7 linked regions of the Sus scrofa genome follow. The protein of the gene in region 5 purifies or fractionates together with the protein of the main gene of each other region. This does not show direct contact. Links are inferred from orthologs where the notes say so. Each region holds a gene or a part of one and is shown on either strand. Other genes may lie near its edges.

Region 1 (4,054 bases), on a different chromosome or scaffold from region 5:
CCACAGCGGGTCCAGCAAGAGATTCCCAATCTCCTAGCCAAGAGCTGGGGCTGACACCAAAATCAAAACATCTTAATGATAGTACTTCAGACATCCTAAGATGGACAGAAAGCCCCAGAGTAAGATATGAAGGATGGAGATGGGGTGGGGTGATATGTGTCAGAGGGCACTCACCTTGCTCTTCACTTTGACCAAGAATGTGAGGCAGCAGAGAATACGCACACGTATTGCGTCACCCAAGGCCACATTTTTAGCCACCTGCCCAGAGACCAACTCGAATCAGAAACAGACAAGGAAACTCTCATCAAAACAATCAGCAGGGACAGCACCAACCCCGGGCTCACCTCCAGGCAGAATGTGAGGACCTCTGAGAGGTGGGAGGTGATGATGGGCACCTCTGACTCCAGCAGTTCATCCAGGGCCTCCAAGGCCTCACAGGCCTTTGCCTGCCAGAGAGAGAAGTCACAAGGCTTCAGTGCTCTCCTCTGGTGAACGAGGAGGAACACTCCCGCCCTTTCCTTCCAACAGAGCTCCTACCGAACGCTCTCACCTCATCTACAGGGATCAAAGCCTGCACGGCCGTGATGAGCCTGGGCACCAACATCCGCGCAAGAGGCTGGAGAACACAGGACAAGCTGAATTACAGAAAGCACGATGCAGCCTAATCTCAAGCTCGAGGATCTGGCAGCCTCCTCGAAGCCTGGATGTAGGAGAAGCCCAGGCAAACCCACCCACAGGATCCCCTTTCAATTGTTAGGCAGGACAAAAACCAGAAAGAATCTGAAGTACCTCTGGGACTCGCAAGGGTGAGGACATGAAAGCCCAAGGACAGGGAGCCAGGGTAGGTGAGGGACCATATCTCACCACATCATCAGTGCCGAGATAAGGAGCCATGGTGGTCAGAGTGCGCAGGGAATAGAAGAGGAGCCCAGGAGAGCCCACCTCACCCAGGGTCTCATTCAGAAGCCGAAGAAGCTCCCGGTGGTGGGGTCGGAAGGCTTCAGGCCGGGAGGTTACCACCACACTTAGCAGCAAAAGCCCCATCTGCCCAGGAGAAACAGGAGTTGAGAGGGAAAAGCTTACATGGTCCATCCAGCCTCTAGGTCCCTTCCTCCCACCAACCATGCGCTGGTACCTCTCTCTCTGGGATGTGGGGGCTGTGGGTACTGTGCTGAAGAAGCTGCATGAGCTGAGGCCAGGCCTCCAGGCCTTCCTTTCGAAAAATGGTAGCTGAGAGCTGGGCCAGGCTAAGGCTCACAGAATGCCTGCAAAGGGAGAGATTCCCCACCCCTAATCACCCTCCAATACCCTCCCCTGCACACAATGGCCCTGCCTCCACCGGGTGGCCACAAGAGAAACCTCCAGATGTGGGCACAGGGTCTCTGCCAAATTGGAACACATAAGGCAGAAGCTCAAGGGGAAGCCAGCACCATGGTGGGTGTGCAATCTGGTGAGTTTGACATCACCCATACTGAATTTCAGTTCCATTCTTCGGACTCGGTTTTGACAAACAATCACAGCCCATGCTAAAGAACTTTCCTCCTTGGTCTAGAATTGTAGTCCCTGCCCCCCAAGATCCAGCCTAGAGCTGAAAAAGAAGGTAGAAACCTGAAGAAGGTCTCAGCCTGGAATCAGTTAGGACCCCGAGAGGGGGCTCTAGGCACTTACTCTGTCTCTCTTTGGAGGGCCGACAGGATCAGGGACTTGAGGCTGGAACACAAGTGGCAGGTGTTAGGAACCCAAGAGCCGCCTCAGCCTGGCCCCGCCCCGCCCCTGGCCCAGCCCACCTCTCCCGTTGCTCCACCACCAGCCGCCGCCAGCCAGTGCTCAGTCGTCTGCGGGTCAGCACAGCTGCGAACTGCCGGATCTGGGATGAGGAAGCAAGCATGTGAGGGTTCCGGCAGGGAGAAGCAGCAGGCATGTGAGGGTCGGAGCAGGAAGGCGCGGGACGCCGGGGGCTGGAGCTGGGGCTGGATAGGTAGCGTACTAAGGGCAGCTCAGCGGGAAGGGGCAGGAGCCTCACCTGAGGGTCGCCCGCCGAGGTCAGCAGGTCGCAGAGCGCGGGCAGGGCAGTGGGGTCCCGCAGAGCGGTCTGGAGCTGTTCGGTGGCCTGGGGAGAGCCTAGGGGTCAAGAGTCAGGCCGTTCCCGCAACCCTCCTCTCGCCCCGGCCCGGTCTGGTCCCGCCTGCCCCAGTACCCGCCGGATGCGGTCTGTGTCCGGCAGCAGCAGCTCCTGCAGTATCTGTTCTAGGCCGGCAGGCTCCATGGCAGCAGCTGAGCCGCCACTACCGGCCCGGGCGGGGGGAGGGACAGCACGTGGAGGCTCTATAACCCATTTCCGGCGGAAGGGGCGTTGCTCCGCGCCCCTCCCGTCGCCAAGGTGATTCAACTAGCTTCCCGCAGAGCTCCGGCTCCGCCACTTCCGTTGGGCTGAGCTCCGGCTGAGCCGCTGAAACAGGGCCCTGGTAAGGGAGGTTCCCCCAGCCGAGGGTTCCCAAGCTCCGTGGAGAATTCGAATCCCGTGCTTTCCGCTGCCGACCCGGCTTTCTATGAGACAGTGCCCTTAATGGCAAGGCACGCGTTTCGATATCCAGACCAAATCCTCCAACTACAGTATCCTTTTTCTTAATAAATTTTATTTTGGCATTGTAAAAAGAAAAATCAGGAGCAAAACTAAAGGCAACTTAAAAAGTTCAAATATATACTCCTTATATAATAGAGACTTATAATTTCCAGGCCCTCCCTGGGGAAGGAAGGCCCAAAGGGCAAAGGGGAAGACAACAAAGCCATCACACAACTCATTCACTCAGTCAGAAAAGATGACGGTAAGAGATCGATGGGGTATGAAGAAAGGGAAAGAAGAGCAATAGTTTTGCCACCCCAAACTCAGTCCATCTTGAGGTTAACATAGATATAACGGATGAACTTTAGGGAAGAAAAAAAGGAGATGGTGCCCAGCATGAGGAAGAAGACGTATCCAGTGAGTAAGGAGTAGCCAAAGAACTCTACCGTCTGTACTACCCCTGACATGTTGGAGCGCCGGGCATAGTAGAAAACTGAGTAGAGGAAGATGAAGAGCCCAGTGGAGCCAACACTCAGCACAGATCGCCACCACCAGCGGTAATCCTCCCCAGACAGCTGGAAGTAGGTGAGTGCGATGGAGATGCAAGCCCCCACACTCAGCAGGATGGCGAAGACGAAGAAGAGGATGCCATACAAAGTGTACTGCTCCCGACCCCACACTGTGGCAAAGATGTAGTACAGCTCCACAGAGATGGCACTGTGAAGAGAAGAGACGATACACAGCATTAAAGGGCTGTGTGTTGCCAGCAGTGGCCAGGCAAAAATCCAGCCACCACCCCTCCATGTTATTGGATCACTGTGGAAAGCAGGTCCACTCCACTCCCTACCCTGGAGTTTCTGGCTTGATGGCGATTCTTTTACCTATGATTAGCTGCTCTCATTTCAAGAACATCTTTAGTAGGTTGAGAACAGGTATCTTATCTGTTTTACTTTCCCATTGTATTTGCCTGGTACTGAGAGGCACTCAAACCGAATGAGTATTCGAATGGGCTTTAAGCTCCACATGGTGTCCCTAAAGTCAGAAATGAGGAAGATGGTTTAAGGAGCAATGTCTCTGGAAAGCTTTACAAGTGAGACAACCTCATATTTGAACTGACTGATTCAAGCTCAGTCCTGCTTAGAGAAAGGAGGAATCACTTAGTGATCTCTTAATGGTAATAGCCGAACTGGGGATTACTCCTGATACTGGGTTAGGGTATGGGGTGAGTAGGGAAGTTAAGGCCAAGAACCTGAGAGTGATGGCCATGGAATAAAGGGAGGATACCTGAAAGGCAGGAAGCCTCCAACAGTCATGTGGATGAGAGTAGACTTGTACCAGGGCTGGGGCGGGATTTCCCGAGCGATGTTCTTGGTGCGACAAGGTGCATCAAACAGGCTAGCATTGTTCTTCCCGAAGATGCCTCCAATGACAGTGAGGGGAAAGCCCACCAGCAGCCAAACCGTCAGAAGCAGCAGGATGGTGGTGGCTGGC
Region 2 (3,500 bases), on a different chromosome or scaffold from region 5:
GCATAATCTGTGACCTAATTCGAAATCAGAAAATCACTTTGATTAGTTATAACAATAAACACTTCAGGCTATCTCAGGCATTAAGAAATTATTTATGGCTAACAAACTCTAATATGCCACCGTAAGATGTATTAATGGGTTCAAGTTTCTGAGAAAAGTTTCTTCAGTTTTAATCAAAAGTTTAAATGTATACCTTTAAACTGCTCTAAGACTACTCCTGAAAGAATTAACTGATTTAATATTTTTTTCCTTTTATGGCCACACCCATGGTATACTGAAGTTCCCAATCTAGGGGTTGAATCAGAGCTGCAGCTACACAGCCATGGCAATACGAAATCTGAGCTGGATCTGCAACCTATGCTTCAGCTCACTAGATCCTTAACCCACTGAGCCAAGCCAGGGATCACACCTGCATCCTCATATAGACAATGCTGGGTCCTTAACTTGCTGGGCCACAAGGGAGAACTCCAGAAATAACTGATTTTAATATGACAGAAGTAAGACTTCTAGGGCCCTCAGTATATGACAGTCACTATTGCCCTAAGTATATCCAGAAGCAATAATTCATGCAACCCTCACAAAAACCTTATTAGGTAAGTAATATTACCCCCATTTTACAAATGAGTAAATTGTGGCCCAGAAAGATTAAGTAAGTTGTCTAACATCACAGTGATTAAGTAACAGAGAAAGGATTTGAAGATTTTACCTTCAGAGTCTGTCCTCTTAGCCACTACATTATGTTGCCACTTATGAATACATGAAGATAATCTCATAGAATTGTTATTACCATTGAAAAAATAAAATCATACTAAAAATACATAATTTACTCTCAAATGGTACAGGAAAAAAAAGTAGAGATATATAGAGCAAATGGTAAAGCAAATGAGGCAAAAAGTTAATATGTGAACTGAAAAAAGACTATTGGGGTACTATATATACTATTCTATTTCCTGCAACTTTTCTGTAAGTTTGAAATTATTTTCAATTAAAAAGTTAAAAAACTAATTTAGTATTATGTACAGACAGAAATATATGAAAATCAGACAACTCCCAACAATGGGGCTTCAAAGAGGAATGGGTTAAATACATAGATTTGTGAAGGAAAACAGCCAAACTCGAACATAAAATACAAAAACTGCCTAAACATTCGTATTAATGGAAGGCAGCTCCCCATAGATTTGTGAAGGAAAACAGCCAAACCCGAACATAAAATACAAAAACTGCCTAAACATTCACATTAATGGAAGGCAGCTCCCTACCCTCCCTGCTTTTCTCAGCTGCCCTGGCAGCATATGGAAGTTCCCGGGCTGGGAACTGAATCTAAGCCAGAAATGTGACCTAAGCCACAACTGCAATAATGCCAGATCCCTAACCCACTGCAGCAGTCCAGGGTTCAAACCAGCTCCTCCACAAAGACAAGCTGGATCACACACCCACTGTGCCACAGTGGAACCTCCAGAAGGCAGCTTTTATTTTGAATAATATTTAAAGTTTTGCTATAAACAAGAAGCATGCATTGGGCCTAATGTAATGCAGGATCTCCATGCTCAGCAGTTAAAAAGTACGATACAATATTACCTTCTACAGAAGGACATTTTGTAGTTCTGTGCTCATCTAAGACGTGCAATGTTGTTAAATATTTAAGTCTAAGTAACTCTAATACTAACATGTTAAAACCTAAGTAAATCCACAATTTTACATTCAATCTTAAAACTACTACATAATTAGGAAAAAATGTGACACATGTAGTAACTTGATAGGAAAGTACAGTACAGGAGGGCAAATGACTCATAATTTAAAATAAGAAAAAAATTCCTGTTTGGCATTCTGATTCTTTCCAATACTCCTGGAAGAAACAGAAAACAATGAAAAAATCTTATAGAAACCTTGAAGCATATGGTTGGGAATTTACTGTAATATGTTTCCTCTTTTATTTGAGAATTTAAAAACAGTAACAAAAACAAAAAACTTGATGTGACTCTATTTTGAGTTGCTTAATAAACCTTTGTCCAAACCTGTGGCACTGAGAAAGAAAAAATCACTGCCAAAAAAAAAAAAAAAAAGTCACTGCCAACATATGCACCAGTTCTTCAGGAGTATATCCTCCAGGTTTGGCTCAACTACTCAAATTGGAAACAACAAAGGAAGACAGCACATGTGATTACCTCATTACATTCATCCACAAGTATAAAGAAGAGATCAAATCGGGACATGATAGGAGCTGACAAATTTATATTCTGTTTCAATGACTTTGATCTGTCATAGTGTCCACTGATCGGGTTTGCTGCTGCCAAAATGGACGTCCTGGCATTCAGAGTAGCCTGACCACAAAAGGAAAAATTGTGATAGGTTTAAAGATAATTGGAATGGCCAATAAGCATACAACAAAATGCTCAACCTCACTAATAACTAACTAAATGCAAAACAAAATAATAAGATTACCATCTTTCACCTTCTGAATCATTAAAATTAAAGTCTGATAATAAAGAGAAACAGGTACCCACTCCCATATGATGTTGGTGGTATAATGTACACACCTTTTTTTTTTTTTTTTTGTCTTTTTGCCATTTCTTGGGCCACTCCCGAAGCAAAAGGAGGCTCCCAGGTTAGGGGTCGAATCAGAGCTGTAGCTAACAGCCTACACCAGAGCCACAGCAACACAAGATCCAAGCCGCGTCTGCAATCTACACCACAGCTCATGGCAACGCTGGATTGTTAACCCACTGAGCAAGGGCAGGGATCGAACCCACAACCTCATGGTTCCCAGTCAGATTCATTAACCACTGCGCCACGACGGGAACTCCAAATGTACACACCCTTTAAGCCAGTAATTTCTTATTAAGAAATTACTTTGCAGCGAGGTATGGGAAAATGTGTCTAAGGACATTTATTATAATATCATTTAGAATACAAAAGGCTGGAAATAACCTAAATGTCACTGTATAAGAGCCTACTAAGCCAAAATGGGATATATACAATTGAAAATCATGCAGTAATAAAAAAACTAAAGTGGATCTAACATGTACTGGTATAGAAAGATTACCAAAATAAAATGATGGAATTTAATGAGCAAGCAACAAAACTGTATGTTTATTATGCTTATTCATGATAAAACATTCCTAAGAGGGGCACAAAGTCAGCAGAAACTTCTGAGTATCTACTGGTGCTGGAAGCTGTAAGGGAAGATTTCTCTTTTTAACTTCTATTTTAAAGTACTGCTTATGTTTTTCTTAACTGACCATATTGCTTTTATTCTTAAAGTTTGGCTTCTCTCTAATGCTAGTTACAATACTGTATTTATTATTTTCATTTAAATAATCTGTTGACTTTCATCATTTTGGTTACAAATGGAAGTACCCTTTCTTTATCAAAGACTATAGAAGCTCTGTGGAAATTGTGAAAGTACTAAAAATTTCACCAGTACTTCTACTTTGCGTCATAGCAATAATTTTCACAGTACCGTAAACAGCACCTATAATTTGGATTAATAATTCTCAGGG
Region 3 (3,500 bases), on a different chromosome or scaffold from region 5:
AGACCAGGAGCTTTTTTGCATCTTTATTTAAGAGTCAAAACTGCAGACAGGTAACACTTTCAACTGTTGATACTTTGTGTACAGAATGGTTGAAATACAACAGATATAACTCAAATCAGCCAGTCTCCCCAGATTCAACCAACCACATCCAGGGTGTCCATCAATCAAGTCCCTCAGCCACTTTCAAGCCAAAAGCTCAATCCTCTACAGTTAACACACACTTTTTCCTCAAGGATCACTCCCCTCCTCTGCTCAGTTTCCTTCAGAGTTCTTTTTCCAGGACAGGATTATGGCCCCAGTTGGAAACCTGGTGGATAAAAGACAGGTGCCACCCAAAGCCTGGCTTAGAAGCTGTTACATCAGCTCACTGTCAAAGTCTATCAAACAGTATCAGCACCAAAGAGCAACATCTTCACCAAGTCTTGTTTTTGTAAGCCCTATCCAGGGTCAGCACCATGCAACATTTGCAAAGACAGCTGGGTTCAGTAGAGTATAATGGAAAAAACATAGCACCATTGGAAGACAAGGGCCTGCAGCACACTGGATTTCATCACCTCCACGTCAGACAGGATCTTGGATTCAAACTTAACACTGAGATCAGTACAGAAGAGGAAAAAAACCAAAAACCTTTGGCCACGATATAAAACCTGGAGTGCACCAAGGCACCAAGATAGCCAATATTTAAGAAAAAAAAAATCATCAAAGCCTCAACCTTTGCTTACAATCTTTATTGAAGTTATACAAAAAGAATCCCCCAAAAGTGAAAAAATACATTATATACAAAAACACTTTCCATTGGGAGGAAGGCTCTACTCCCTCTCTTAACACGCAGTGCTCTCAACTGTGGCTCCGGCCTCCACTGTCCCCTCCACTGCTGCCCGGCTCTCAGCCTGATTCTCAGCCTGGAAGATAAACAGGGAGCCTGGGCATAAATGACCACAATTTAAGCCATTTTTTTCTCATACAACTGTGCAAAGGAAGTAAATACAGGTCCCTTAAATTCTGCTTTGCTCCCTACACTAAGAAAGCAATGGCCACAAACTGTAAGGCCATTTCCTAAACTCTGCAGCAGGGCTGGACAGAACCAGTGTTCACACATCATTAGATGGAAAGAGGAGAAAGCACAAGTGCCCGAACGGTCCTGCCTGCTGTCTTCTCACACATTCATTATGCAGGGACCTCTGGGAGGTGTATGGATTCCATTTGTCAACAGACACCCTCCCATTTCATAACCCAACTGTTTTCTGCACAGCCTCATTGTTTGCTGGTTTTGTTTTTGCTTATATTTTGGGTTTTTCTGGCCACGCCCATGGCATGTGGAAGTTCCCATGCCAGGTAATGAACCCTCACCATGGCAGTGACATGAGCCACTGAAATGACAGCACAGGATCCTCAACTCACTGTCCCACAAGAGAACGCCACAACCTCACTTTTTTTGGTTTTTCCTTTTTGGCTGCCACTGGAGCATATGGAAGTTCCTGGGCCAGGGATTGAATCTAACCTGGAGCTGCGACCTATACCACAGCTGCAGCAACGCCAGATCCTTAAACCCACCGAGCCAGGCCAGGGATCAAACTGGCACCCCCAGACAAGTTGGATCATTTACCCACTGTGCCATAGTGGGAACTACATTTTTTTTTAACCCACAGCCTCACAGTTTTTATGAGCATTGCACCCCAGCAATCCAAACAGGCTCAGGTGAGGAACATGCATGTGGGAGGAGGAGTTTCCCCAGGCCCTGAGAACAAGAGGAAGCGAGGAGGCGAGAGTCCAGACCCTGCTTAACTGCCCACCTCCATGTTTTCCGAAACTTCGGTTCCACTGGAGACAGCATCCCCGCTGCCTCCATTCACCTCTGGTTCTTGTTTGGCTTTCTTTGCATCATCTTTCCGAGGGCTCTCTTCCTCTGGTTTCCTCTAAAGATACAATTAATTGTGGAAGCTTAACGAATGTGCTTTTTTAAAAATGTTTTTTTAAGGACAACTATAAGCAATCCCCAACACCCCCTTCTTCCATATGGGGCAGAGATCCCAAACACAGGCGCCTCTGAGAGCCGGAAGAGCCAGTTTAGCCTAATGCAGAGGCTGGGTGGGGGTGAGGAGTAGATCTCAACAGTAACCAACCCCCGGTTTGAAATCCTGTATTTGAGTTAAGAAACAGAGCAGGAGGTAAAGTTTTCCCCTAAGAGGGAAAAAATCTACTGCAGCAGGCAGAAGGCCAGCTCACAAAAGCTTAAGCCTCGGCAGGTCAAAGGAAACCTGCGAGCTTCCTAAGACGGGCTGATCTGACCAGTCGTCCTCAGCAGCCTTCCTCGTCACCCTTCGGCCAAATAAGAAAGGCCAAGAGTTTGAAACTCCAGGATGTATTCGACTGACAAGCGTCTTCGCTGGAATCCTCCCGCCTTCCCGACGCGTGTTTCATGTCACCACATGTTAGAGGTGAGCCTCACACATCATTTGGAGGAAGAAACTGTAGAGTGGGAAACAGAAACGACCACAGATTTACCTTCTTTCTGACAAGATGGGAAATATCAGTCACACAGTTTGATGAGGAAGCACCATCAGCTGGCTTTCTGCTGGCAATCTGGCAAAAAGGAAGCCTGTGTTAGCAATGCACTGCTACATATGAGACAAAACCAAGGCTCATATGTTAAGTGACAAAAATCACCGGAATACCCACCATGGCGACGGAAGAGCCTCCTCCGCTCGGAGTAAAACCCGAAGTCGAGCTTTCCACCTGCGCAAAAGAGGACAAACCCCAGTGGGTCTGGGTCCCAGGATAGAGCCCACCAGCTCATCCATCTACCAGCAACTACGACGTCCAATTCTAGTGCCTTCCACAGACGAGCAGTATCATTTACCCCACACTGTCACCCATGCCTCCCACACCCCCGGTGGGGCCTTGGAGGGTAGAGAGTAAATAAATTAATATTCGAGCAGCCAAAAGCAGAGCCAGGCAATCTGGGCTTAAAAGCCTTCACTATCTCTCTATACAAAGGAGTTCTCAGATAAGGGAGTAAGTCTGCAATAAACAGCAATTTCTGTTTGTCTTATACTGTCAGAAATATTTTAACATATAGGTACCAATATCCCCATTTTAGTTACTGAGTTCTCACATTCCTGCTGACCTCCAGCTCCCTGCAAACCAAGTCATGAGTAAGATTTCTAGCAAATGGAACACTAACACCATGATAAAGGCCCTCATGATACTGAACATGCTATTATCAAAACATTAATAAAAGGAAACCAAACCAACCAGAGTTGCTTTCAGAGCCAGTTCAGCTACATTCCCGCTCCGCTGGGACTCCTTTGCATCCTCTATCTTCTCTTTAATTTCTGGGAGCAGCTCCTTCAGCTCCTCAATTTCTTTCTCATATTCAGCAGGTGATCCTTCGGCCTCCTTCATCTGCTCATTCAGTACAGCTAGAAAGAAAAGGCTCAAGTCATCAGTAATAGGTACAAAAGGAGCCTTGTTTTTTAAACTGCCAATCACTGGATCCA
Region 4 (4,043 bases), on a different chromosome or scaffold from region 5:
CCTGTGCAGGGGCAAAATCCCCTGCAGTCTGAAAGACTGCAAACATCGTTCTAAAAACCCAAATTTGTGAAAACGTAATTCAAATCAGCTTCGGGGTGTTGGTGGCCTGTGCACAGGCCCCAGTTTAGCCAACCAGGGAGGCCCGGCGGCTTCTGCAGTCAGAAAACACCCGCGGCCTCTGCAAAAGTCCCCCTTTGCCTCCGACAAACAACACCTCGGCTCCACCAGGCCCCAGGAAAGGCTAGTCGGGTGGAGGGAGACCTTTCGAGGTGCACACAATTGCATGCCTGCGATTATCTGGGAGACTTTGAGGGCACAGTAATCTCTCGAGACCAGAAACCATTTTCCTCTCTCGCTCTGAGATTGTGCCTGGCTAAGCAGCAACAGCCTCCCTGCCCCCCTCCTACCCCCCACCGCCACGGCCACGGCCGCTGCAAGCAGCCACGCCCCGCGGCCCCAGGGCTCGCCGCCCCGGGGCTCACAGCCCCCACGCAGCTTGCACGCCGCACCTCCCTTCGCCCCACCCCCGCGCGCCCCCATCCGCCCCCGCGGCCGGCCCTGGGAGCGCCGGGCGAGACCTCGCGCCTGCGCCTCGCCAACTTCCTGCCGCGAAACGTCCCGCCCACCCTCCAGAAGCCCGCCTCCGAACGCCGCGTGAAACCTGCCTGCTGCACGTGATTGGTCGAAACCACCAAGCCGTTGGCTCCCAGGCCCGCCTCTCCACCGCCTCTCACTTTTCCCAGGGCGGATGCGCCTGCGCTCAGCTGCCTGGGCGGGCTGGGAGGCGCGGGTTGAAAAGTCTCGTTCCAAGTTTGGAGAGAGAGAGAAGAGCGTCTCAGACCTCGGTACCCGCAATCGGGGAGGAGGTAGGAGAGAAGGACGCGGCGTCTGGGGAGCACCCAGGCTGAAAGACGGAGCTGAGGCTTCGAGAGCTGGAAGTGTGTGACGCGCCTGGGAAAGGCAGGAGCGCCTACTGTTGGGCTGCTCTTGGCTAGCGAGGGGAGTCCGAGGCGGCGGCGAGGGGCAAACGACCCGACGCAAGATGGCGAGTAAAGAGAGTAAGAGGCCCTGCGGGGCGGCGCGCGCCGGGGCGGCGGGGGCGGCGGGCGCGCGAGGCCGCGGCACGCGCCGGCGAAAGGCGCGAATTGGCGTGAGGAGCAGGGGGCGGGGCCGGGCGCGAGGCTGGGCGCGCGCCTCGAGGGGCCTACGCGGGACGCGGCCGCGGCGCGGAGGGCTGCGAGCACTTCCGGAGCCGGGCGCGGGGCCGCGATTTGGGCCCCCTCCCCCCCCACCCCGCCACCCCCTACCCCCTCCGGCGGCGGCGCTCTCGGTCCCCGGGCGGAGGCGGCCTCCGTCGCCGGAAAGCGGGCGCGGCGGCTTCTTCCACGCGCGCGCGGCGGCCGCCTCGGGGTCGCGGCTCTTGTCCGGGGGAATTCTGGAACCCGTGGCTTATGGCTGCCGACGCGGGCTTCGTGGGAGCCGAGGCCTCTCCTGGTGGGGGATGGAGGGAGCGGGCCGATGGGTTTCTGCTACACGTGGATTCGTCTCGCCGGGTGGGTCGGGGAGCCTCTTTACATACGGCTCGTCATCTCCGAACAGGTGCGGACAGCTGTAGCGGCAAAACATTTGCGATGTCCGTGTAATTAATTACCCGATTCTGTATTCGCAGGCATTATTGATTTCAAAGTGGAGAGGGAAAAAAAAAAAAAAAAAAGCTTCCTGGTGTTAATATTCTCTCCACGTTGTGGACGAGCAGTTCGTGTCCAAATTAGAGAGAGAGGAGATTAGGTGTGGCCATCTCGAGGTGACCTCCGGTATCTGTGTACAGGTTTTGTTTTCGATCCCTCTCCGCCACTTAATCGTGTGGGCTTTCTCCAAATTTCAGTGTTTGAAGATACTGTGGAGGAGCGTGTCATCAATGAAGAATATAAAATCTGGAAGAAGAATACACCGTTTCTGTATGACCTGGTTATGACCCATGCTCTTCAGTGGCCGAGTCTTACCGTTCAGTGGCTTCCTGAAGTGACTAAGTAAGGGTTTCTGGCACCTTTTATTTTGCGTAAATTTAACTGTTGTCCTGGATTTCCTACTTTTTGGCGTTTTCTGTATGGAACGTAAGCATGTAGTTAGTTTAGCCCTTGGGTGAGGTGGCAGGTGATTTTTATTTTTAAAACTTAAGTGATTTGGGGGTTGGTTTCTGGCGTAATAATGTGGCGCTTAAAGGGGGAGAAAGAATCTGTTGTGAGATTAATGTTATTTGCGGGAGGCACCGGATATGTTTGACATTTATTGGGCATTAACATAGAGCAGCATCTTTTTGGGTGCCAGACTGGTGGGATTTCTTTAAAAACTTTATGGGAAAATAGCGTGCCTAGGAGTTGCGGCTGTGGCGCGATGGGATTGGCGGCGTCTCTGCAGCGCCAGGACGCAAGTTCTATTCCTGCCCCTGCAAAGTGTGTTAAAGGATCTGGCATTGCCGCAGCTGCGACGTAGGTCGAAACTGCGGCTTGGATCTGACCCCTGGTCTGGGAACTTGCATATACCGCGGGTGTGGCCATTAAAAAAAAAGAAGAAAGAAAACAGCTACGTGCAGAAAAGTGCACAAGTCATAAAATATGGCTTGATTAATTTTTGCGAAGCGCACACATCCTTGTAACCAGCCCCCAAGATAAATACGTGTTAATTGCAAAGGGGAAGAGAACTGAGCAGCAGTTCACTACCGGAAAGGTGGGGTTGTTGGCTTATAGTGTGGGATGGGATACACTTTGAAATTGCTCTTGGTCCTCTTAAGAGTATTCTTTTCAATTCTTTGTCAAATTCTCCGGTGATAACTACTGACATTTATTGAGTACTTAGAATACGGCATGGCACATCTCAAGAGTTTTGTGTCCTGTTATTTGGTTTAATACAACAGTAGAATAATTACTTTTTATCATTCTTGTTTTACCAATGTGGAACCGGGCTGAAATGTTGAATAACATGCCCCAGATCACACAGCTGGTAAGCGGTGGAGTGGGCTTTTGAACCCAAGCCAGGTGGCCCCAGAGTTGTGGCAACCTCTGCCCTAGGTTATCTTTTTCATACAGTTGCACATTTCCTAATAGAAACTTGGCCATGCACTTTTACAAGTGTGTTAAATTGTGAGCATATAATTTAATGAGGATTAATCCAACTCGAGAGAGGGAATTTTGTAATGTAAGAAATAAGAGTAAATAAATTACCTTCACATAAAACCGATATAACGGCTGGATTGTCCATATGCGAACATTGACTTCTACAGATAGGGACTTCCATTGGGCTTACCCCAAAATCTCAATGTCAATGTACAGCGGGAAGAAGAGCCGACAACTAAACACTGCAGACTTCTAAGTATTGATATTTATACCAACTTTGACCAGGGTATTGAGGTTCTGGTTTAGAGCATTGTGTGCGTTTGGCTCTTTGTTTAAAACTTCAATTTACATTTCCTTGGATCTTTTTGACCTAGTGTAACAATAGACAAGATGGAGGGCTTTAAGGTTAGAGACCTGAGTTTGAATCATGCCTCCTGCTTCTTGGCTTTGTGAATGAGGGCAAATCGGTCAGTCTCTATCCCCGAGTAGTCTGGTCTGTAAACAGAGGTGTTGGCGGTTCTCACTGCCTACATTTGAGGGAATAAATAAGATCACACATGTTGAAGTGCTGGCTGATGGTAATTCTGCCACCCCTTCCTATTGAGAAATAATTTGTTAGGGTGGAATAACTCTTCATTTGTATTTGAATGAAGGCTGCTTCTTGAAATCTTTAAAAAATGTTACCCACGATGTGGTTTGTGTAAAGGTTTTATTTATTTGGTGTGTAAAGATTTGAAAGATAATAGTTCTGTGTGTTTTCGGCCCAGATGTTACGTTTATATTAACACTTGGGAATTTAACAGAAATTAAATTATGTATTCCATGGTGTTCTCTGCATATGAGGAAGTGGGATCTGGTTGTGGGATGTGCAGTGGCTCTGGGAATGCAAGAAAATGCCAGCCAGCCTGCATTCTTGGGTGTTGAGGACAG
Region 5 (3,967 bases):
TATCATTTTCCCTTTATTTATAATCATACATATGAACCTTGGCTTGTCTATAGCATGTTAAGTGTGGGTCAGAACATCTGGCTCTAAGACTTATTCAAGCAGCATCCGTTGAATTTCTCAATTAAATAGGGGAAAAACACATCTAATGTATTGAATGTGGACTCATGATTTGCAAACATCTATTTCCAGATGCTAAGAAGAAGAGAGAGCAAAAGAGGTTCAGAGCCCTTGAGAAATGGGTCAGACTGGGGGCTGAGTGTTCAAATCTTCAGTTACCAGTATCTGAAGTCACTAGGAAACAAGACTGAGATTTCTCCAGGATCTGAGAGAATTCTAAAGCCAGACCCACTCCATCTGTTTGGGAGGCAGGAAACAAATTCTCTCTGCTCTGTGGGAAGAGGCAGAAAGCAAGTTGGCAGGTCAGAGTCAAGGATAGCCCTAGAGGTACAACAAAAGACTCTACATTTCCAGGTTTTCTAACTGGAATTTCTCTGAGCAAAAGCTTCACTGTCCAGGTATAATTAATAATAGCACCACCTTTCCCTCTTTTGACAGTGTTTTCATGTGGAAATAAAATCTATGGTCAGTCCTATTTACATTCCACAGGAGAGGCCTTTCCCTGGTTACAGAAAGATAAAGAACTTTGGACAAAGAACTCAGAGACAAGACCTAGTGTCAATAATTCTACAAACTGGCTATGTGACCTTGGAGAAATCATTCCATTTCTCTCTATTAAAAGATAATGACCGGGGATCCCAGTGTGGCTCAGTGGTTAATGAAGCTGACTAGTAACCATGAGGTTGCTGGTTTGATCCCTGGCTGAGCTCAGTGGGTTAAGGATCTGGCGTTGCCGTGAGCTGTGGTGTAGGTCGCAGATGAGGCTTGGATCCATCGTTGCTGTGGCTGTGGTGTAGGCCGGCAGCTGTAGCTCCAATTTGACCCATAGCTTAGGAACCTTCATATGCTGTGGGTGCAGTCCTAAAAAAGAAAAAAAAAAAAGAAAGATAATGATCAGCAGGTTGACTTTAGCCTTTCCTGTGCTGATTCTAGTAACAGATTAGTAAAGTAACAGGAGAGGAACTTTGTAGGAGTAAATGTACTAGATAATGACCATGCAACCATGTTTAACCCCGAGGATCACAAACAGACATACTGAAACTCAATCTTCTGCCATCTGGCTCTGTGAATCCCTTAACCTATTAGCTCCTTACATCTCCTCCTAGCTTTAAAATGAAATCTTATTCCACAGGGTGATTCTTCACTTTATTTATTTACACTGTCTTGTTCCAGAAAGGATTTAACTGGGCTTATACTATAGTCACAAGTAGATTCCTTAATTTAGAAAGGAGAGAAACAGGGAAGATTGATCCATTGGCCCAGTCTAAGCACACACACACACATATATCAAAAGGGTTATCAACTCCAGGCTAGACCAAGTGGCTAATTTGCATGCAAAGCACACACCTACCACTGAGAGGTGCTAGTTAGCACACCCTGGCCTCACAGATCTCCACCTCCTTAGCCGCTGCCTCTTAACCACTAAGTGGAGAAGAGGTCTAATGGAGTACTTTCTCCCGAAAGTGGTGCCAAAACTCTCTGAATGACCTTAGATTTTTTTTTGATTTTTATAGAAGTACAAAAAAGGTGTTTTACTCTTTGTGGATCCCATGCTCTCATCTGTGAGATGAGAGTCATGTCCACCTTTGTCACACAGATGAATAAGTACATCTATAAAAGCGCCTTGAAAAAGATGCACAAAAGGTTGTGACCTCTGAGCTGATTGAAGCCAGATACCTTCATGGCTCAGCCTGGCATACCCACCCTCCAGATTAGGTCAGACCATCAAAAGTGGGGGAGAATTGCTACAGTAAGTCAGCAGGAATCTGGCAGGCAAATGGTAAGAACCAACTTATGCTTGTTTGGCCATGCTTCCCCAGGTAGAGCATCAGCAAGCAGGGAGGAGATTATGGGAAGACAGATGGGAAGATGGGGGTGAGTGAGGTCTTGTCACAGGGGGAGAGGGTCTTCATTGGGAAAATGGAACAGGGGGCTGAAGTTGCCATATAGGAAAGGGGCGGGAGCTGGGGTTTCCATAAGGAAAATGGGAGGGTGCTGAGGTTTCCATAGGGAAATTGGGAGGGGGCTTGGATTTCCATAGGAGAAATTCGAGGGGGCTGGAGGTTGGGGTTTCCATAGGAAAAAAGTGAGATGGGAGTGCCTCACCACAGGGGACAGCCTTTTGGTGGGGAGGACTGAATGGCTGGAATGGCGGCTTGCCCCTAAATAGTAGGTAGGTAGGGGCAGTCTCTTGCTACAGGAAAGTCAGGGTGGCTGACGGTCTCTACCTAGAAAACGGGTACCCAAGAGGAGAGCTACAGGAAAAAGAGGGGGATAATGAGGTTTTCACGGGGGAAAACGCGAGTAACCATAGGGGTACGGTGAAGGGGTAGTTTCCCAAAGGGGAGGTTAAGGCTGGGGGTGGGTGTTGGTTTACGGGAAATCAGATTTGGGGGAGAGGGGGTGTTTCACAGGGTTGTCTCCAAGGGGAGGGTCGGGGCGGCCCAGGGGAGGGGGGTCGCTCCACGCAGGCCCAGTCTCACCGTCCGTCAGGGCCTCATTGCACTCGAAGCTGATCTCGAACCGGAAGGGGCTGTGGAAAGGGCTCGGATTCTCCAGAACAGCCACGTTCAGCACCGACACCTTAGCCATTGCCTCGTCGGGCCGAGGCTGAAGCCAGAGCTGGGGCCAAGACTACGTTTGGGTCTTGTCAGGTCAGCAGAACAGCGTTACCCAAAACTGCTCGCGCCTCCTCCGATCGCGGTCTGAAGAGCTAATCTTCTTCGCGCGCCTCCTTCAAATAGCCGGCCCCACCCTCCAGCCAATCACCGTCAACGCTCCCTGGCGGCGCGAGCGCCCCCCCAGCCAATCCTGGAGCGTCGGTAGGCAAGCGCCGAGACTCCCGAGACCAATCGGTGGAGCTCCCTCTTCTGGATGCGGGAGGGAGGCGGGACAGTCTCTTGGCTTCTTTGGGAGTCCGCCGGGAACCAATCCCTAGAGTCTCCGACTCGAATGTCAAGGGCGGGGTGGGCGGGGTCAAAACGCAGGGCTCTTCTTGGCCAATCCCGAGGGTCCCCGCACTAGCGCTGTCCGGACTTAGCCCCGCCCTTCCGGGAGGTGCTTCCAGCCGCGGGCAGCGCCGCCAACCGTCAATTGGTGGCGCGCGGCGCTCGCCAAATCCCCTCTTAAAGTGCGGGAAGGGCGGTGCTTGACCTGCGGTGATTGGCAGGCAGGGGTGGGGCGGGAATAAAGCCGATTCTCTGAGAGTTTATTGGCTGAGTTGACCTTGGGGGGCGGGAGGAAATAAGACTCGGTGGGGGATTCGTAGGAGTGGAGCGGAAGTCGACTGCCGGCGCTGTTGAGCGGGGTGTAAGAAGAGAAAGGAAGAGCGTTTGCGGCTCTGGAGTCTCAGCAGGTGAGCGTTGCCGGAAGTTTCTCTATGGGTCTCCTGGCCCTTCAGGCCCAGCGGCCCGGGAGTCCGTTGTGAACGTTGTGAACGTTTAACCCATCCCTGAAGGGAGACGGTGTGACAGTAACGGGGCTCACGGGGGCCTGGGTCGCGGGAGTCGGGCTTGGTTCGAATCCGGCTTTTTCCCCTTCGAGAGCCTCTGGGGAGGTTTCAGGTAGACACGCTGTAAATGAGAGTTCGAGTCCGGCCTCTTCCACTTACCTCTCGAGGCCACCCTTCCCCGCGCGTTGAACAGGGTCATGAAAATTTACTGGCAGGATTTATGACTGCATAATACATCTAGAAACTTTACTCCCACACTGGGGCTGGAGCGCCGTCGCCCCCTGTCTGGAAGACTGTAGGGACATCCGCACTCACTCCCTGCTTCCACCTGTGACAGCGCACCTAGTTTTACACTTTTCTGAAGTTAACCACGTTTTTTAAAAAAGTTTAAAAAGTTAA
Region 6 (3,500 bases), about 9.3 Mb from region 5:
GCAGATTAATATGCAGCTTTTGGGGAAGATTTTTACAAATATCAAAAAGAACTAATCAAGCATCCTATATAAAACTTTCCAAACCTCCAGGGAGGTCTGTGAAGCAGGACAAAGTGCTCTTTACAATAGGAATCAGGACTTTCAAGTATCTGAGAATACCCTAACCATTCTACATACATACACAGGCCAGTCCTGGTGCTCAGGAAGGGCTGAGTGAGCTGGAGGCCACAAGGCTCTCACTGGTGTCCATTGCCACAGACCCCCCAGCTCCAGAAGTGGTTCCACACGTGGCCTGGATGTCTGCAAGGCAAGAGAGGGAGGGACTTCAGCCACCGGCTGGCTGTCGGGGTGGGCAGCTAAGTGGGTGGTCCTGCTCCCTCACTAATGCTTAGGCTGTCCACCTCGTGCCTGTGTGCTTTCTGTAGCACTGTTCAGCAGACTTTACACTTGAACCTCCAGGTTTGCCCATGGCAAAGATGAAGAAAGTGGGCAGCAAGGACCAGTGGTGTGCTGGAGCTCACACTGATGAGAATTGCTGGTCTTGGGCTCCCTGCCCCTGGGTAAGCTGGGTTCAGAGGCTTCCCCTCAGTACTGCTGGTTACCCAACCCTTTGGACCCTCCCTCCCTGACAAAGCTCGTCACCACCAACTTTCGGGTCTTTAGTTTCTTACACGTAGCTTTCAGACCAGGGCAAATGCTCTGCCCAAACTAACATCAGACCAGCCTGCCCTGGCCTTCCAGGGCCTCCTCACTCAGTCCTCATTAGTCACAAGAGGCAAGTGGGGGAGTAGCAGTACCCGCTCTTCCCTCTCCTGCCAGCTTAAAGGAAAAGAGGGTTTGGGACCCTTCTCACCCCCAACATCTGAGATGTCCATGATCACACAGTCGCCTTCCTCCTCCTCCTCCTCCTCTGTGTCTGCTTGGAAGCCGTCTAGGTCTCCAGCTCCGACCTGAACAGACAAGGGTGCACAGCCATCAGCAGCAGGTGGGGACGGTGTGACCCTCCCAACACCCGCCTCTATACACCTGACCTCTTCTACCCATTTTGGCAACAAAATTTGAGGAGTTTGTTTGAAAGGTTATGATCAAAGGAAACCTTGGGGATGCTTGTCTCAAATGAACTAATTATGTTCAGATGTCTGAAAACTATGCCCATCGTTATTTACCTTACTAAAAAAGTGGCTTATTTATTGTTTTGTTGTTGTTTGTTTGCTGTCTAGGGCTGCACCCACAGCATGTGGCAGTTCCCAGGCTAGGGGTCAAATCAGAGGAACAGCTACTGGCCTACACCTCAGCAACTCGGGATCCGAGCCGAGTCTGCAGCCTGCACCACAGCTCACGGCAATGCTGGATCCTTAACCTACTGAGCGAAGCCAGGGATTGAACCCATATCCTCATGGATACCAGTCGGATTCGTTTCCACTATGCCACAATGGGAACTCATGTTTGTTTATGGTTTTTGAATTAGAATTCTGTGTTTCTGGTTTGGTTTGAAAGAGATTGATAAGGCACACACCTTCTCTGAATTATTGTTTGGAATAAGTGGTTGAGAAGTTAATTGGTCAATGTTTTCTTCTCTGCCCAACAGCTTAGTCCCCTCTGCCTGAAGCTTGCTAATTCTTTAATTTAATTTATGCTCAGGCCAGTTTGGCCCATGAGGATGCCACTTGCACCGTGTGGTCAGAGGTCAGGAGGGGCAGGAAGTCCTCTACTGAGGGTAGAATTTCCAATGACATCCCCAAGCTGTTTTTTGGTTTTTGTTTTTTTAGGGCCACATCCACAGCATATGGAGATTCCCAGGCCAGGGGTCAAATCGAAGCTGCAGCTGCCAGCCTACACCATAGCCATGGCAACACTAGATCTGAGCCACATCCACAACCTACACTGCAGCTTCCAACGCGAGATCCTTAACCCACTGAGCAAGGCCAGGGACCGAACATGCATTCTCATGGATACTAGTAGGGTTCTTTACCCACCGAATCACAATGAGAATTCCTCCCAAGCTGTTTTCACTGGCTTTCACCAGAGGGAACAGGGACAGAATGTGTAAAGTAATGGAACCAACTTTACACACTGACCATCCTCACAAACACTCTGTACATGAACAAAGAACTAGCAGAGGTTGTGGTGCTAGGCTATGTCTCAAAACACTTCTGGAATTTCCTCTGCAAAGAAAACTCCCTTTGCCTTTAAGGGATGACAGCACTAGGAGACCATCTGCTTTGCACCTGGGCTGCCTGGCCTGGCCGGCAAACTGGGCTCACACCCGCAGCCCCCAGTTCTAGCATAGGAGCTCGGCACTGGGTCCTCAGGCTGGGAGCCACTGAGGCAGGAATGGCCCCGAATCACTGAGAGGACGCTGCAGGCAGTTTCTACCTGAAACAGGTAGAACTGACTGGCCCAGAGCAGAGAGAGCAGCTCTCAACCACACTGACCTAGAGGTTTGGGTTGGGGGAGCAACAGGACAGACACACGGATGGATCTCTTTACGGGCCTCCCTGTCCCTGGGGACTGAGTCCCTAGTCCCTCCGTGCTGAGAGCTATCAGCAGCTTGTTGCAATGGGACAGCTCCACTTGCTGCTGTTGCTACCACAGGCAGAGGGTGCAAAGCTGCAGAGAGAGCCTCAGGAGTTAGGGAGACACTTAACAACCACAAAGAACTGAGACTGGATAACACTGTTGTCCTTTTGATCACAGGATACTTTTGGCTGGAAGAGGCAAACAGAGCCCCTCCCCATTTAAAAATAAAAGCAAAGCCAAAAAGCTGAGTCACCATGGGAGCACACATAACTTGGTGGCAGAACTGGCACCTAACATCCGCTTGTCTGCCTCACTAGATCATGGTACCTTGTAAGCACATTTGAACTCTGAATGAAAATATTAAAAAATTCCCACAAATAAAAAAAAAGCCCAACCCCATCTAAAACATTCACATACATTTAGTTTGGCAACAATTATCCCCAAGGATGTGGAAGTATCAGTTAGTGGCTTTACCAAAATGCAAAGGGAAGCATCCTGCCTGCTCCCAGGCCCCTAATCCTGCCTTCAGAAAGCTGTACCTGTGACCCCCGTTTGACCCAGGTGCTGTGCGGCAGCAGGCTTGCTCCATGCACACCCAGAGCTATCTTCCCATGTGCCCTTCTGGAACAACCAGAATCTTGGTGGTGGTGGTCAAGGTCTTGTTGCCCTGGCTTCTCTTGCAGCTGGGGGGGGGCTGTGCCAGAGCTTTCTGGCTGGAAAGACAGAGGTGGAAGTCTGCTTCCCCTTCCAGCTAAACAAGGGTGCTCCCCTGGGAGGGCTTGGCTATCCTTGTCCTGCTGCCTGGAGGTGCAGCAGCCATTCTGCGACCAGGAGGACAAGGCCATAAACTAAAGCAGGAGGGAGTCGGATACAGGGGGAGCCTGGCCCTGGACAACAGTGTTTATATGCTCAGGACATGTTGCTAGAGACAAACCCCATGCATTTAAGGGGACACAGGGGGGTTTGTACCTGAAGCCCAC
Region 7 (3,977 bases), on a different chromosome or scaffold from region 5:
CTGGACGGGGGGGCGGAGCTGCCTCGAGAGGTCACCACAAGGACTGGGAAGGCTGATTAAGGACCGCTTAGGGCAGAGAAGGACTGGCAGCATGGGGACCCCGCTGACTGCCCCCTACCAGGCCCTGAGGCCACACGGACTGCCCGCACTCCCACCTCATCGCCCCCACCCCGACACCCTGAGAAGCTCCTCCCAACGAGGTGGGGGGGCCCCATGTGGCTGTTGTCACCTCCCAAAAGACACACGCCCAGGCCTCCTCTGCTGAAGGAGGAGGGGAACTTCCTACCCCCTTTGAGGGGTTCAGCCCCCAGGGTCCCCTTTAGGCTCACCATACTTGAGGGTCCGGCAGACCACTGCCTTCTGCAAAGGCTTCTGGGAGCCAAGCCTATAGGCCTTCTTCAAGGCTCTCTTGGCAGCCAAAAAATCCCCAAGGTCTTGGAGGACCTGGGGGGGGGGAAGGGGAGGGAGGCTCGCAGGCTTCCGAAGGCCGGCCACCCACCCCCACCCCCCCCACCCCACCCCGGGAGCTGGGCCCGGAGCTGCCGGGAACCACTGGCACCTGCGAGATGAGCACGCAGCACTCGCTCTCCATGAAGCCCTGCTTCAGGAGGCGTGCGCACTCCCGGGCCCCCTCCAGGCAGCGCATGGCATCGGAGTGCTGCCCCTGACGCCAGTGGATGGCTCCCAGGTTGTAGCGGGCGCGAAAGAGGTCCTCGTAGAGGTGGTTCTGCCTGTGGGTGGGGACAGGCCCTCGTGCTGAGGCACTTGGCTTTGGGACAGCAGGGTGGGCACCGGAAGTGCCGATGTGCAACCTCTGATGCCATTTGGGATCCCAGCCCCCACGAAGCAGAGCCTGCTCTGGCCCCAGCCTGAGGCACAGACGTGCCAGGCTTCTATGCTAATAGGAAACTGCCAGGGGCAGAGGTGTGAGGTCAGCCCAGCCCCTTGCCCCTCGCTCCTCACCCCTCACAGCAGGGTCTGGGAGCAGCCTAGGGGGCAGCAGCTGCTTCCTCCAGGAACGGGGCGCTCGGCTCCCTCTAGGGGTCAAGTGAGGCCTTACTCAGCAAGAAAGATGCTCTTCTTCAAGTAGGCGCTGCACAGGGCGGCCTGCCGCAGGCTCTCGAAGGTGAGGCCCAGGTTGAGGTAGAGTCGGGTTCTCATCTCACTCAGCTCCCGCTTGGCCAGTGTCCCTGGAAGACATGCCTCCAGACACTCAGCACCTCGGCCCGCTGGGGCTCGCCAGCCTTAGGCCCTATCCAGCCTCTCGTAGGCACCAGGGGCTCTGCTGCAGTGTGGAGGGACAAAGAGCAGAGGCAGCCAGACCCCAGGCGGGGAGGAGCACAGGCCAGGCGTCCCCTCAGGGGGGTCCTGCCACACAGGGCAGGCAGGCGCTGGGGCTGAAGCCTCCTCTCCCCGCGGAGTTCGGGAGGTAGAAGGTGGGGAGAGCCAGGTCCCAAGGGCAGTCACCCTGAAGCTTCTCATCCACGATAGCCAAGCTTTTCTCGAAGGCCGCCTGCGCCTGCAGCAAGGCGTCCTCTGTCTGCTGGTGGTCATAGATGTCCAAGTGAGTGCGGCCAATGGTGGCCCAGGCCCTCTGTTGTTCAGTGTGGTTGGACAGGGAACGTGCCAGGTCCAGGTAGTGGTGCTGGTGCTGGGGCACAGAATGACCCCTGTGAGCCAAGCCCCACCTCAAGCAACCCACGCCTTCCCCAACTCCAGGGGGACGCCTAGAAGAGCTCTCCACTCCCCAAGCCCCCAGAGTATGCCACACACACCCGTTATCTCTTTGCCAAGGGCTGCCTGTGGGGACGGTAGCACCCCGCTCCAACCAGCCAGAGTCATCACCGGGGAGATGAGTGGGAGTTAGGGGGGCTGCTGCAGCCCCAGAAGCCAGGGACTAGGCAGCTCTGTGTAGAAAAAGTCAGGATTCCAACCAGCCCACAAACTCAGCTCCAGAAATATGTTCACGAGGGCTTTCTGCGGCCCGGCTGTGGTGTACCCATCCAAAGACCAGGCTGCCGTCGCCTGGCACAGGGTTCTCTGAAGGTGATGCCCAATGGTAGCGTGTCCCCCTCTCCCCAGGGGCCTGGACGGTGGAGGCTGTACTCCCTCCTCAGAAACGGACCCTCGGGCAACGCGGGCCCAGGAGACGCGGCCTCCACTCACCTGCAGGGCCTCGGTGAAGTTCTCCATCTCCGCCAGCCGCTCCCCAATCTTGCGGTGGGCCACCGCGCAGCCCAGGGGGTCGCCGGCGGTCTCCAGGAGCTGCAGCTCTTGCTGGTGCTCTCGCAAGGCTTCGGCGTATCGGCCTGGGCGGGCGGGGCACGTTCCAGTCTGGCCGGACAGGGGGCCACGGGCCGCGAGGGCCAGTGGGGCAGCGACCGGCCCTGGGCGGCACACTGAGCAGGCCCCCGCCCTGCCGCCTCCCCACCTCCGGCCCCTGGCCCCCCGGTCCTCCCGACGCCCCCCTCTCAGTCCCGGACTCCACCCCACGCACCATGGCTGGCCAGGAGCTCCCCTAGCTGGTGACAGAGATTAGCCTCCTCCCGCAGCTGCCCGCTCCTCTGCGCCTTAGCCTTGGCCTTGCTCAGCTCTGCAAAAAGAAGGACGAGGCCTGGATGCGGAGCCCCCCTGCCCGGGAGAGCCAGGCCCGCTCCCGGCCCCTGCGCTCGGGCGCTCGGCAGGGAACTCACGGCGAAGCTCGCGGTCTAGACTCATATTCCGGCAGCGGCGCCAGGGGCTCCAGACTTCCCGCGTTCTCGCGCCTTGGCGGCGGTCCCTCCCACTGGGGCGCCGCGCGCAGGCCCAGTCGGGCCTGCGGCCCGCGGAGCATCCTGGGAAGTGTAGTCCAGTCGTCCGAGGCATCCTGGGAGCTGTAGTCGTGCTGGCGCCTGGCCCGGAAGGGGGGCGCGGGGCGGGGCGAGATGGAGGGCGCCTCCCCAGATTCCTGGCACCGCCCCTCAGCCCGCAGCTGCCCTCGAGGTGGGAACTCCGGGGCTCCCACCCCTGCTGCCACTGTCCTGCCAGCCCGCAAACTTACCTGCCCGTGCGGCTTGATCTGCGGAGCGCACTGCCCTCGCGTGGGAGAAGAGGACGGAGTCTGGGACCGCAAGCACTTGAGTACTTGGCGTAATCAGAGGTGTCCCTGTCACAGAACCCGTGGAAGAGCCTCGAGCGCGCCACAGTCGTCACGTGTGGGGCTCCTACCTCCAGGGCCGGGGTCGGGGGTGGGGAGGGAAGGGGACTGTTTTCCAAAATGAACTGAGCAAAATGCTGCTTCCTCGATGTGCACGCCAGCCAGTTGTTTTCCTGGAAAACTCGGGAGTACAGCCTGCAAACCTGTTTTGTGCTGAGAGGGAAAAAGGAGCAGGAACGAAGCCCACAGCGCTCTAGCCGACTTCTCAGCGCAGGAGGACACGGGGGCCCCTGTGGTCGTGGGGCACCTGGCCTCAGAACTCGAATGCCTGTCCTGTCCTTTCCCCCACACCTTGAGAATCAAAGACCTGCCAGACCTTGGGGCTCTCAGTCCCTGGCCTGCCACGGGGCCCTGGGCACCCCGAAGGCCCCAGAGGAGGCCTGGAAGAAGTGGGCAATGGGCAGTTTTATTTTCTGTGGATATGGAAACAAACCCAGTGGGGTAAAACTCTCTGCCAGTGGAAGGGCAGCAAGGCCTGCTGTTGAGGGAGTAATAGGGAGGTTGGATGGGTGCCAGGTCCAGAGAAGGAGGAGCCACAGGAAGTGAGAAGTCGGCCACAGGTGGCCCTCCTCTGTGGCTCCTGAGTGATGTGGTCCTCTCTCACCCTGCCCCCAGGGGCCCAGAGGGCAGGACAGGAGGCCCTGAAACCAAGGTGGATGACTGGCAGGCAGGCTGGTGAGATGTGAAGGGCAACGGGGGAGACAGCGTGGGGAGGGGGCGCTGAGCCACAGAAACCCGGGCAGAGGGCGGAGGGCTCAGGGCTCCTTCCCACTCCGGCGCC

Evidence for each region.
Region 1: the proteins of ASF1B (region 5) and IPO4 purify together in Homo sapiens (affinity purification with mass spectrometry; 5 studies listed by BioGRID and IntAct, counting the BioPlex papers as one, with this or other methods). This does not show direct contact. The link is inferred for Sus scrofa from reciprocal best matches to the Homo sapiens genes ASF1B and IPO4.
Region 2: the proteins of ASF1B (region 5) and MCM6 purify together in Homo sapiens (affinity purification with mass spectrometry; 4 studies listed by BioGRID and IntAct, counting the BioPlex papers as one, with this or other methods). This does not show direct contact. The link is inferred for Sus scrofa from reciprocal best matches to the Homo sapiens genes ASF1B and MCM6.
Region 3: the proteins of ASF1B (region 5) and NASP purify together in Homo sapiens (affinity purification with mass spectrometry; 5 studies listed by BioGRID and IntAct, counting the BioPlex papers as one, with this or other methods). This does not show direct contact. The link is inferred for Sus scrofa from reciprocal best matches to the Homo sapiens genes ASF1B and NASP.
Region 4: the proteins of ASF1B (region 5) and RBBP7 purify together in Homo sapiens (affinity purification with mass spectrometry; 4 studies listed by BioGRID and IntAct, counting the BioPlex papers as one, with this or other methods). This does not show direct contact. The link is inferred for Sus scrofa from reciprocal best matches to the Homo sapiens genes ASF1B and RBBP7.
Region 6: the proteins of ASF1B (region 5) and CHAF1A purify together in Homo sapiens (co-immunoprecipitation; 7 studies listed by BioGRID and IntAct, counting the BioPlex papers as one, with this or other methods). This does not show direct contact. The link is inferred for Sus scrofa from reciprocal best matches to the Homo sapiens genes ASF1B and CHAF1A.
Region 7: the proteins of ASF1B (region 5) and TONSL purify together in Homo sapiens (affinity purification with mass spectrometry; 5 studies listed by BioGRID and IntAct, counting the BioPlex papers as one, with this or other methods). This does not show direct contact. The link is inferred for Sus scrofa from reciprocal best matches to the Homo sapiens genes ASF1B and TONSL.

Annotation. Positions count from the first base shown.
Region 1 is NC_010449.5:75,108,590-75,112,643, reverse strand, and holds the start of IPO4 (importin-4), read right to left. Parts: upstream 2,801-4,054; 5' UTR 2,267-2,800; coding exon 2,198-2,266; intron 2,111-2,197; coding exon 2,024-2,110; intron 1,868-2,023; coding exon 1,788-1,867; intron 1,711-1,787; coding exon 1,669-1,710; intron 1,266-1,668; coding exon 1,136-1,265; intron 1,045-1,135; coding exon 865-1,044; intron 617-864; coding exon 551-616; intron 447-550; coding exon 345-446; intron 259-344; coding exon 175-258; intron 1-174. Other genes in the region: TM9SF1 (transmembrane 9 superfamily member 1), read right to left, coding at 2,887-3,280, 3,848-4,054. UniProt on the Homo sapiens protein: Nuclear transport receptor that mediates nuclear import of proteins, such as histones, RPS3A, TNP2 and VDR. Serves as receptor for nuclear localization signals (NLS) in cargo substrates.
Region 2 is NC_010457.5:15,947,638-15,951,137, reverse strand, and holds part of MCM6 (DNA replication licensing factor MCM6), read right to left. Parts: intron 2,322-3,500; coding exon 2,166-2,321; intron 15-2,165; coding exon 1-14. UniProt on the Homo sapiens protein: Acts as a component of the MCM2-7 complex (MCM complex) which is the replicative helicase essential for 'once per cell cycle' DNA replication initiation and elongation in eukaryotic cells.
Region 3 is NC_010448.4:165,773,956-165,777,455, forward strand, and holds the end of NASP (nuclear autoantigenic sperm protein), read right to left. Parts: intron 3,423-3,500; coding exon 3,256-3,422; intron 2,737-3,255; coding exon 2,680-2,736; intron 2,584-2,679; coding exon 2,506-2,583; intron 1,917-2,505; coding exon 1,794-1,916; intron 903-1,793; coding exon 822-902; 3' UTR 9-821; downstream 1-8. UniProt on the Homo sapiens protein: Component of the histone chaperone network. Binds and stabilizes histone H3-H4 not bound to chromatin to maintain a soluble reservoir and modulate degradation by chaperone-mediated autophagy.
Region 4 is NC_010461.5:13,313,721-13,317,763, reverse strand, and holds the start of RBBP7 (histone-binding protein RBBP7), read left to right. Parts: upstream 1-1,243; 5' UTR 1,244-1,451; coding exon 1,452-1,599; intron 1,600-1,885; coding exon 1,886-2,030; intron 2,031-4,043. UniProt on the Homo sapiens protein: Core histone-binding subunit that may target chromatin remodeling factors, histone acetyltransferases and histone deacetylases to their histone substrates in a manner that is regulated by nucleosomal DNA.
Region 5 is NC_010444.4:65,062,019-65,065,985, reverse strand, and holds the start of ASF1B (histone chaperone ASF1B), read right to left. Parts: upstream 2,801-3,967; 5' UTR 2,710-2,800; coding exon 2,601-2,709; intron 1-2,600. UniProt on the Homo sapiens protein: Histone chaperone that facilitates histone deposition and histone exchange and removal during nucleosome assembly and disassembly. Cooperates with chromatin assembly factor 1 (CAF-1) to promote replication-dependent chromatin assembly.
Region 6 is NC_010444.4:74,380,876-74,384,375, forward strand, and holds part of CHAF1A (chromatin assembly factor 1 subunit A), read right to left. Parts: intron 951-3,500; coding exon 854-950; intron 301-853; coding exon 200-300; 3' UTR 1-199. UniProt on the Homo sapiens protein: Acts as a component of the histone chaperone complex chromatin assembly factor 1 (CAF-1), which assembles histone octamers onto DNA during replication and repair.
Region 7 is NC_010446.5:348,815-352,791, reverse strand, and holds the start of TONSL (tonsoku-like protein), read right to left. Parts: upstream 2,801-3,977; 5' UTR 2,719-2,800; coding exon 2,694-2,718; intron 2,594-2,693; coding exon 2,498-2,593; intron 2,310-2,497; coding exon 2,167-2,309; intron 1,652-2,166; coding exon 1,468-1,651; intron 1,191-1,467; coding exon 1,061-1,190; intron 732-1,060; coding exon 560-731; intron 445-559; coding exon 330-444; intron 1-329. UniProt on the Homo sapiens protein: Component of the MMS22L-TONSL complex, a complex that promotes homologous recombination-mediated repair of double-strand breaks (DSBs) at stalled or collapsed replication forks.